Mytilus edulis: one gene and its partners. The protein of the gene in region 1 purifies or fractionates together with the protein of each later gene. This does not show direct contact. Links are inferred from orthologs where the notes say so. Each region holds a gene or a part of one and is shown in the gene's direction. Other genes may lie near its edges.

The links.
Region 2: the proteins of DNA polymerase epsilon catalytic subunit A-like (region 1) and MMS19 nucleotide excision repair protein homolog purify together in Homo sapiens (affinity purification with western blotting; 3 studies listed by BioGRID and IntAct, with this or other methods). This does not show direct contact. The link is inferred for Mytilus edulis from reciprocal best matches to the Homo sapiens genes POLE and MMS19.
Region 3: the proteins of DNA polymerase epsilon catalytic subunit A-like (region 1) and probable cytosolic iron-sulfur protein assembly protein CIAO1 homolog purify together in Homo sapiens (affinity purification with western blotting; 3 studies listed by BioGRID, with this or other methods). This does not show direct contact. The link is inferred for Mytilus edulis from reciprocal best matches to the Homo sapiens genes POLE and CIAO1.

Annotation. Positions count from the first base shown.
Region 1 is NC_092348.1:84,503,462-84,507,221, forward strand, and holds the start of DNA polymerase epsilon catalytic subunit A-like, read left to right. Parts: upstream 1-1,222; 5' UTR 1,223-1,242; coding exon 1,243-1,316; intron 1,317-3,760. Other genes in the region: large ribosomal subunit protein mL40-like, read right to left, coding at 954-985. UniProt on the Homo sapiens protein: Catalytic component of the DNA polymerase epsilon complex. Participates in chromosomal DNA replication.
Region 2 is NC_092347.1:91,257,735-91,261,494, forward strand, and holds the start of MMS19 nucleotide excision repair protein homolog, read left to right. Parts: upstream 1-1,296; 5' UTR 1,297-1,335; coding exon 1,336-1,429; intron 1,430-3,760. UniProt on the Homo sapiens protein: Key component of the cytosolic iron-sulfur protein assembly (CIA) complex, a multiprotein complex that mediates the incorporation of iron-sulfur cluster into apoproteins specifically involved in DNA metabolism and genomic integrity.
Region 3 is NC_092345.1:69,389,556-69,393,315, forward strand, and holds the start of probable cytosolic iron-sulfur protein assembly protein CIAO1 homolog, read left to right. Parts: upstream 1-1,098; 5' UTR 1,099-1,152; exon of another isoform or gene 1,153-1,205; intron 1,206-3,426; 5' UTR 3,427-3,427; coding exon 3,428-3,760. Other genes in the region: ras suppressor protein 1-like, read right to left, coding at 770-875. UniProt on the Homo sapiens protein: Key component of the cytosolic iron-sulfur protein assembly (CIA) complex, a multiprotein complex that mediates the incorporation of iron-sulfur cluster into extramitochondrial Fe/S proteins.

The DNA of each region.
Region 1 (3,760 bases):
GAGTTACATGAGGGTAGTAATTGGGGTACTTCATGACATACTGTGGATTCATTTATTTTCGTGGGTACCAATTTTCGTGGTTTGAGGAAAACTTGCATAATCGTGGGTATTTAAATTCGTGGTTTTGACAAAGTATGCATATATTCCTTTAGAAAATTTGCAATTCGTTGAATATTTAAATTCGTGGTTTCCTGGTACCCACGAAATCCACGAAAAATTGGTATCCAACGAATAATAATGAATCCACAGTACAACAGTAAAAATTCTTGCAAAATGACATTACGATAGGGTTTAAATTTTAACCAATTTGACACTATCAGCATGATCAGTAGCTGAAAATGATCGTTTGACGCCTGGTGGTAAAAGGCATCAAGACCCTCTTGTATATGAGGGGGGATAGGTTCGGGATTGGGACTCCGGAATTGGGTATTTTTAAGCTTGGGATTTCGGGATTGACCCTTTCGGTATCCAGGAATTCTTTTTTTCCAATTTCAGGACCTCCGGATTTCGTGATTTTAAGCCCGGGATTTTGGGATCTGGTGTTTTTAAGCTCGGGATTTCCGGATCAGGACCTCTCTTACCCCCTCTTGTATATAGGTTGACCAAAGGTCAATCGGCATAAACGTCATCACCCAATCAGTTCTCCCAGCAAAAGCATTGAGACATAAGGAAATAACAGGAGAAGATTTGTGAGTTGTTTATATAAGAACTACAAACTTAAGTTGTCTATAACAACTACAAACTTAAGTTGTCTATAACAACTACAAACTTAAGTTGTCTATAACAACTACAAACTATCACTGAATCAGGCTACACCAGACTCAGAATATATGGTCATGGGTAGAAATCTTGACAAAGAAAATAAAAACTTCACCAATTATTAGATAAAATAATATTTATGTGACATTAAATGTTAAATTAAATAAAAACACTACTGGGATTTGGATAAAAACCTTGAAACTTTTGATATTTTTCCCAGTGACATAATTTTTCAATTTTTCGTCTGTTCGAGTTTCTCTGGTTTTAATACGGATTATTGATTTTACAAACTTTTAGGCAAAAAGAAATTTGTGTTAAATAGCAAATGATTACTAAGACTATACTTATATTGCTGAATATTCTAATTTGTTTTTATTAAGATTAGAAAAAATAAAAACTGATTGTGTCTATGGTCACAGTAAATATGTTATATGTAAATTCGTTTTTTTAAACGTGAAATTAATCTCCCGCCACAACCTAAAAATGGTTCTACAGAACAGTGGGAAATATAAATCAGATAAATATTATAAATCAGACAGAGACAATGGCGAAGGAGGGTAAACAAATATCTGTACCAATAGACAGAGATCCCGATTGTTCATACCCTAGCCCTTTTAATCGTGCCAATTTCACATCTGAAAATAATAAACAAAAGATCTGAAAAACTGCATTTTTTATAGGAATATTTATAATAAATTACATATGATAACTCATCAAAAGGAGACAAGTTTATTGAAATCTAAAGAATGATAATGTGTACAACAAAGGGTAACTATGTGGACTTCAACAATGGGCAAATCCATATCAAATCAGCAAATTGCAAATCTGGGAATAGATATTTTTCACTTTTTAAATTTGTCCACCATAAGTAAAATCACTCCTACTAAAAAGTGATTGTTTAGAGGGGATAGGAGGGGTCCTGATCCCGAAATCCCCGGCTTAAAAACACGACCCTGAGGTCCCGAAATTTGAAAAAAGAATTCCCAGATCCCACAAGTATCAATCCCGAAATCCCGAGCTTAAAAACAGCTGATCGGGGAGTCCCGATAAAGGTCCTATCCCCCCTTCTTGTTGTTTAACACCAGAAAGTTATTGGGAGCAGATATTTAAAGGTCATTTGAAGACAACATTCAGCTAAATATTAAAAGTTTAAATATGTTTATTGTATCAAATAAACATTGCACCATTCAAATTGCCTCCAAAATTAAAAAAAAGTCTTCATCACTATTTCAGTCTGCGACGTTAACCACTAGCCTGATGCCCCAGACTAGTAATTTTCAGCTCGAACTAGTAAATTTTATATATCACTAGCCCGACCGGACTAGTAAGAAATATAACGTCCTTTTTATGTTTCTTGAAATTTGAACATATTTGAAGTTCAAATTGACAAGTAATGCAGAAAAGATCGTCAAATCAATGTGTTGCGAAGTCTAAACTATCGAGATCGATAATTGTACATTTCCCGAGGAAGTGAAACAGAAACGAAAACCTGTCGCAGTAGTTCCGGTAACTCGATCTGTCTTATAACCAGTAGAAAGTGGACCAACACGGACACATTAAATTTTCTAATAATGACGGCAATTGTTTATAAAACGAAAAGACTAACAAGTTTTCCCCCGATTAATTATATATCTTTAATGTTATAAAAATGTTTTAGTTTACTTCACATCACCAATAAAGTTATTAAAATAGATTTATGTCATTATGAGTTATCTTCACAACATCGTATTGTTACACTTCGATTTTTTGGTAATTAGAAAGACCGGAGAACGTAAATATTCTTCAATGTACCGATGGGCAAAGCCAGGAAAGGCTATAAAACGAAAGAGATCAATCATCAAATCATGACGTTTCTGAACAAAAAAAAATCTGAGGTGACCAGAGAGTTTCGGATCTCCTGTAGTTGGAAGAATGACCGTCATCCTTAATAAATAAACTCATACTACAACAACCTGTTGATGGATAAGTTGAGATATATTGATGATAAAAGTAAATTAAATTTGTATAAAGGACTTGATCCAAATCTACTGATCAAACCTTACCTCTCTAACTCAAACTTTAAATTTAGAAAATTTTACAAAACTTATAATCAGTGACCATTCATTATTAATTGAAAAAGGAAGGCATTTTCAAATTCCTCACTTTGCAAAAAATTCAAAGTACTAGATGATGAAAAACATTTATAAATAATTTAAATTATTCTCACAATTCAAATATTAGATTAACATATTTTAATTGCATTAACAGAGAAAATAATTCATTTGCTAATCTCACTGACAATGACATATTTATATATATACTTTAACTTAATCCATCTACACCAACACAAATGAATAAACTAGTTTCCTTTATAAAAAAGTCAATGGAACTGAGGACAGGGGACCCTTTAATATTTACCTTAATTTGTATATATATATTGAGTAACTTAGTTATTGTTTTATTTGTTTTTGTTGTTGTTATATGTCACAAACTGTAAAGTTTATATGGCAATAAAACTTTGAATTGAATTGAATTCTTAATGTTTTGCACGTACTGCAAAGACAATAACAAAACCAATGGGGTGTCTAAATTAAAACTGAAGCAATTATTAAAAGACTATGAGGAATAAAAAAAACTATAAATTACTTGGAAACTCTGACATTGTTTTTGTTATTAACTTATGACTAAAAATAAATAGTGTAGGCAGTTTTCCTTGTTTAATAATTTTTTGCAAATGTAAAATCCTTAAAATTAGCGAAAAAAAATAATTTTCAACCAGCTTAAACCCCTTCAGGTGTGCTCAAAATGCAGGATTTTGCATCTTAGATTCCAAAATTTCTTTGGGGGGGGCATGCCCCCAAACCCCCCTAGCTGGATCGGGTCGCTTTGCGACCCTCAATGGTGTCGGACTAATGGAAATTTTTCAGGACTAGTAAATTAAAATAATTACTAGTCCTGTCCTGTGGACTAGTACCCTCAAAAGTTTTTGGTGCAGACTGCTATTTACACATCAAACAGTCTC
Region 2 (3,760 bases), on another chromosome or scaffold:
TGACTTCATCATGTTCATGTAATTGCGAGATGAGTCACAATTTTTGCTCCTTTACTTATTTTTTAGGCCTGATTTAGTAGTCCGAGATTACTCTGACGTCCAACGGCTGTTTTGCCAGACAGCTTTTGTCTGGCAAAACAGCCGTTGGACGTCAGAGTACAGCTTGTCTGGCATAACAGCCGTTGGACGTCAGAGTAATCTCGGACTATGATTTAGATGCTCAGTTATAAAGCTTATATATCATATTTGCTGTCGAACTATATCTCTATTCATCACTATTTTCATGATTAAAAAATTATACCAGTATATTAGTCTTAAGTCGAGACACAAAAAAGCAACTAACATTAAGGCAATTTAACACAGAGCACCCGAAATAGAATAGAAGTATTTGTAGTTACTGAAAGTTTTTTCAAAGCTAACAACAAGTTACACTCAAATAAATCTCGTTCTCCCAGATATATGTATCAATCAGAACACAACCAACGGATTAAGTCAAAAACAGTGTGAGAACCGCAATGACGTCGTACTTATACCAGTTTGGTGGTCAGAAGGTTCAAGTTAACCATCTATAAAGAACTCTGCAATATCTTTGCTTTATACTAATTTTGCTTTACACAAAAAAATCAGTTTAGCAAGTTACTTCAAGATGTCCTTATTGCTCATATACCAGACAAACATTGGCAAATTCTTGTACAATTTAAGATTATTAAAAAAAATAAAAATCAAATGACTTAGTTATAGGAAAGGATAGAGAAAAAAAGCCAAAATTGAGCACATGCTATTACAATATATAGTTTACCAACACAGGCGCTTGGGTCTATGATACAGATTTTTTTTTAATTTTTTTTTTTTATTAAAATATTCAATTTTCTATATTTATAATACATATCTATCACTTCTGTGCATGTCTCACCTAGTTTCGAGCGATTTAAACGACCCAGAGAAAATACCAAATTTTACTATCCATACTAAGAATTATGGATAGTAAAATTTGGTATTTTCTCTGGGTCGTTTAAATCGCTCGAAACTAGGTGAGACATGCACAGAAGTGATAGATATGTATTATAAATATAGAAAATTGAATATTTTAATAAAAAAAAAAAATTAAAAAAAAATCTGTATCATAGACCCAAGCGCCTGTGTTTACCAACTGACGTATCTTCATTTTCCAATAAATAATCGTAAACTTCACTTTTGTCTTCAAAATATTAAAAAAAGAATCTGTATTTATCCGACGGCTCATTGAGTTTTTGATATTTTATTGATAGAAAAAAATGTTGGAAGAGCTAGAAAATTGGCGGGAATTTAAAGGGAGACAACTTTAGCTTGAAAAAGATGGCTGCGCCCATGAAATTGGAAAGTTGTGTTCAAAATTATATTGAAAATACAGTTGCAGACCAAAGGACAACGATAAGCTCGGTCACAAAAGGTATTTATTTTGATTGCTGATCACTTATGTGTTCACGTATTTCTTAATTAAAAATCTACTGCTGAGCGGCCTAATGAAGAAAAGGGGGGAGGTGGTCTTACACAATAAGTCACAGCACAGGGTTTTTTTACCATTTGCCGGGTTTACGACTGTCATACAAGTGAGAGGTTCAGCTAGCTATAAAACCAGGTTCAATCCACCATTTTCTACATTAGAAAATGCCTGTACCAAGTCAGGAATATGACAGAACTTTGTTATCCATTCGTTTGATGTCATGGATGTGTTGGACTTTTGATTTTGCCTTTTGATTTTTGATTTTCCTTTTTGAATTTTCCTCGGAGTTCAGTATTTTTGTATCCATACGATCCCCGATTTTAACAAACCCCTGCGGTCACCGACTCTCAGCAACTGGTTATTCCTGACCTGATAAATATTAAAAAGTGGAGGGTTTTTGAATAACCAGTGGCTGTGAGTCTGACAATTATTGATTAAATGCAATATGTTATGTCACTATACTAAATTAGGAATGTTTGACATGTTTTCATACCATAATATGGTTTTAAGAAAACAATGCTCTATTTCATGTATTTTTGTTGAATAATTTGCTTAAAAAAAATAAATTATACGTCAATTGGTCTATACCATGTATACCATTATATGTCAACTGGTGTATTATATGTCAATTGAGGTACCGTATAATCCACCAATTGGTGGTTATTCCTGACCTGTTTATTACGACATTACACAGGCACTCTTCTTAGAATTTTTTCCCCAATATATGATAGGGAAAAGAAATCTGAGAGAAGTGCATATAAAGGTATATAGAAACAAATATTCTGAGACGAGTGCCTTTGGATATTAGTAGCATTTAATATATATATATATATTACCTTTTTCTATGCTGTGGCCTAAAGCAAACACAGCAGTGGCGGATCCAGCCTTTTTATAAATTAGAAGGGGGGTTCGAACTATTTGTCCCCATACCAAAACATTGATCGTCCAAAAAAATGGGTGTTCCAACCCCAGGAACCCTCCCCTGAATCCCTCACTGCACCAATCAATCGGTTTCCCTAGCCGACTGGACGCAATTACATGTACATGTACAACTGGACACAATTACGAATTATTTCCTATTTTGGCCCACTGAAATCATATTTTATTTTATTTATATTTATCAATAAATGTTTCTATAAATAAAAACCCTATTAAATTGTTTATACAAGTCATGTGAATTCTGTGAATGTTGATGACCATGACAAAATCATTCTGAAAATATTATAAGAACGACAATCTCGCCTGCAAAATAAAAAAAACAAAAACATATATATATATAGGTAAGTGCATATTGCCTTCTTTTGTTAATACATAGAAAGAAAAATATCTCCTGATTCTGTTCATATGCGTGATGCCTTTTATCTTGCCCAAATGACCCCACAATATGACAATTTGACTTTTTTTAGACTCTTGTGATCCTATTTTTGGTCAAAATAACATATGTTAACATGGTTAACTTAAGGTGGTACCTAACACTACAGGGAGATAACTTTTTGAAAATCAGCTAAACGTTTTAATTACATCATGTACATTGTGTTGATAAGGGAATATTAAGCTTCTCAATGATCAAAAGTATTGTCTGTCAAACTGCTATATAACCAGTGTAATTTTTCTGATTAAATGGTTGGTTCAAATGTTTTGAAATTTTTATGTTTTTCATAAGATGAAGCGATACACATAAAAAAAAATCCCATGGAGGTTTTCAAAAGTTGGAAGGTCTTTTTTTGTCAAAGGGTCAAAGTAAGTACTTTGTCAAAATTTTATGAAAATTAAACGAGCCAAATTAATTTTAGTCAAGGTGTTGGGTACCACCTTAATCTAAAAGTCCAAAGAACGCCGTAAGAAATGTTGACCTATTTAAAAAATATCATGATGAATGATAAGTTTACCACCGAGATGGATAAACTTGAATTTAGTGCTCCTTAAAAGGAGGAACTAACACAAAAACAAATATTTCCTTTACACATTCGACAGACATTTTGACTGCCATGTCTGCAACCACTGCTGAAGTAATTGAAGTAAAATACAAACTTGTGCATCTTTTTTTCCTACATGTGTCCTATGGAAATGTGTTTGAGATTAAGATTAGTGTATATGCTTTTATCAATCTAGACTGTTGTCCTTGATTTCTTCTTCAAGATACATTGTATATCAATATAGTGCTGTTTGGAATCGTGTGTATAATAATATGTGGCTCACTTGCCCCGTAAAATGAGGTCACGCAAATCTTACTAAAGTATCCAAACGTGAACAGAAAATTATGTATAGCCTTATACA
Region 3 (3,760 bases), on another chromosome or scaffold:
TAAAAGAGTAAAATTACTATTTTCAACTGGTAACAATATATATCAATTAAATTAATTTGCATTAAAGTCTATGGAAAATCTAGAGGATTCTTATCCGCATCACCTCTCAATAATGTTTACATAACACAAATGCTAATCATTGATTGGTCAGTTACATGTTGTGATGTCACTGCAGATCTGAGAATTCCACGGACATATTAAAACAGACTATTTTGACCGTTATGTTAATTAATCTTAATTACAAAAGGAACAGTTAGATATGTCACCTGACTTTGAATGTTACCTTCACACAAAAATGGACAGATTCATGCTGTGATGTTCACTTAGCAGATCGTCTGTATATTCAAGAAGGTACAGGTGCTATTTCATTACCATATCTGAGGAACTGATCTTAGGTCATAAAAATAAAAGTCAATCAACACCTAGGCCATATGGTATCATAAAGTTTTACCTTAAACTATTAATCTCACCAGGCGACAGTTAGAGACAATTTATATACCCTTAATAATCGTAATATTTTATTATGGGGCCGGATCGACTTGGGGCCGGATCGACGTGGGCCGGATCGACTTGGGCCGGATCGACTTTGGGCCGGATTGACTTGGGGCCGGATCGGTTTGGGGCCGGAACGACTGGATACCATTAAAACTGGGTTAGCGGTAGGTATGAGATCAAGATATGTAAGATTCCTGTGCTTTTATCTTTCAGCCATGGTGTTGACTGTTGTTTGTTTATTTCTTATCCCCCCCATTTCTACATGCAAACATACACAATCCTGGAATTTCCAAGGTATTGATGCCCTTATCAACAATTTCCAGTTCATTGTTTTTGGTATCCTTACACTCCTCTATAAACTTCTTTGCTTTTGCTGCCATGATTGTCGACACCCAAAATATGTCCTATTTAGGAAAAGCAAAAATAAGGAAGTGCCTAGCAGCAGCTTCCGTTTCAATACGACGCCAAAATAGTCCTGTGATAAATATCTGATTCTAAATCCTAAAAGTATAATGTTATCAAAACTATCAAAAAGAAGGTGATTGATTAAAAAAAGTTACTTAAATTCATTACAAATATGTAACTTTTCCATCTTTGCGTATTAATATATAAAACTACTTTCAAGATGTCAGCGCCCATGTAGATACAACTTTTCATGTAAATAATATTGAAAAGGATAGAATTACTTGACTGATATGAGTATTAGACTGGTATTTTTCGCAACAACCCCTCAATAACATAATGAAAAATGTTTATCTGTTTAATTACACCAAATATATGTTATTGAAACTCTCTGTTCAGCTGAAGGGACACCTTTTTTTACTAGTAATAGTAGTAATCCATGAACATGTTTATTATCTATGTCTAATTTTGTAAATAAGTAGAGACTACCGTGGGAATTATACTTGTACTTTTACACATTAGCACAGTCTTTATGTAATGCCATGGTATCTACATGTATGTGTCATTGTCATTCCATTATTAAATCGGTCATTTGTAAAGATGTCTTATTATTCACATTCGCGCCTATTCACGTTGGCACCCTACATGTTCACGCCCAAATTTTATTTAAACTATCATATACTATGAAATACAAATCGTACATTGTATCTTCATATCTTTTTTTTTTTTTAAATAATGATCGAGTATTGGTTTTGTGTTCAATAATTTGTAAACGAGTTTTGAAAAGTGTATTGCTATAAATATTAATCCATCATATTGTCATACTTGTCCAAACACAAATGAGATCAGAGGAGACAAGCTGTTAAAAACAATTATATTTCATGTTTTTTATTTAAAATCTTGAAAGTTTTGTCATACCAAGCTAAATATATACATTTGTATGCAGTTATTTACATCAAAGCAAAGACTTAAAACAACTATCATGATTTTTATACACTAAAAAATAACACCAAATTAGCTGTGTATAAATACCAATTAGCAGTAATCATACATAATTAACATTTAGTAATTAATCATCAAATTAATAAAAAAAAAATATATTATAATTCCCTCAAATTTTATTCAAGAAACTAAAATTATTTGGTATATACATATAAAAAAATATCTAATAATTCAACTGAAATTCTAATACAAATTGGGTGCGAACGGACTTCGGGTGCGAACATGTGAGGTGCGACCGTGTAGGGTTGCGAAAATATATTGGGCGCGAATGGACCTGATACCTTCACTTTATATACGCAACACATACTTCATAGAACAATCACAAGATTGGGGGTGCATGCTGTGCAGTAGTTTTGTTGTCTAAAATTTGTGCACATTTTTATACGACGCGTCATATTATGCTATCATGTTGTCGTTGTCTGGTCGTCGTCTGAAGAGGCATTTAGTTTCCGGACAATAACTTTAGTTTTAATGAATAGATCTCTTTAAATTTTTATCAGAAGGTTTAATACCACTAAAGGAAGGTTGGGATTAATTGTGGGGTTATGGCCCAAACGGTGTAGGAATTAGGGGCCACAAAGGGGCCAAAAACAGCACTTTTCTAATACTTTGTATAAATTACTTATTTCTTGACCAATTTAAAAGGGGTTTTATTCTTAAATTCTTGAATCTAACCGTGAATTAAGTTTTTTGAATTTGATCCACGTTTTTAAATTGGTCCACATGAGGTCCCAAGGGTCCAGAATTAAACTTGATTATGGGCCCGGTTTTCAAGTTGGTTCAAATTGGGCTCCAAAATCAAACTTTGTTTAAACTTTGTTTGATTTTAACGAAAATTGAATTTATGGAGTTCTTTGATATGCTAAATCTAACCATGTATTTTGATTTTTGGGCCCTGTTATCAAATTGGTCCACAATGAGGTCAAAAGGGTCCAAAATTTAACTTTGTTTGATTTCATCAAAAATTGAATTCTTGGGATTATTTAATATGCAGAATCAATCCATGGCCATGTATTTAGATTTTGGATATTAGACCATAAAAGGTAAAAAAATTTTTTTACATTTAATAGACCACACTCATTCTGTGTCAGAAACCTATGATGTGTCAACTATTTAATCACAATCCAAATTCAGAGCTGTATCAAGCTTGAATGTTGTGTCCAGACTTGCCCCAACTGTACAGGGTTTGACCTCTGCGGTCGTATAAAGCTGCACCCTGCGAAGCATCTGGTTAGGATTACCTTTATCAATTTAATCATGCCTGAATAATCTGGATAAGGTGATAAGGTTTAGAATAATTTTGACGGGAAGAGACTCGTGAGGGTAAACATGGAATATAAAAAATGTCAAATACCACAGCATAGAGGGGAATTTGAGGCATATTCGCTGGCAGTGGTGACAAACATGCAAATATTCATCTATAGTAAAAAAAAAAATCATTTTTTGAATCTTTGTACCTTAAACTACATGTACAGTATGTTGAATTTTATTTCGGTTCTAGTCATATACTTTTCCTGTTTATTACAGAATGGCTCAACTTAAAGAAGTGTGTAGTTTTGATGGTCACAGTGACAGAGCATGGTGTGTGGCATGGAATCCTTCTGGCACATTACTGGCATCTAGTGGTGGGGATAAAGTTATAAGGATCTGGGGCAAAGAGGGAGACAACTGGGTCTGCAAATCTATTTTATCTGAAGGACATCAGAGAACAATACGTGCAGTTGGATGGTCCCCTTGTGGGAGTTATTTGGCTAGTGCAAGTTTTGATGCTACAGTTTGTATATGGAGCAGAAAAGAAGGAGAGTTTGAATGTATTGCAACATTGGAGGGCCATGAAAATGAAGTAAAGGCTGTATCCTGG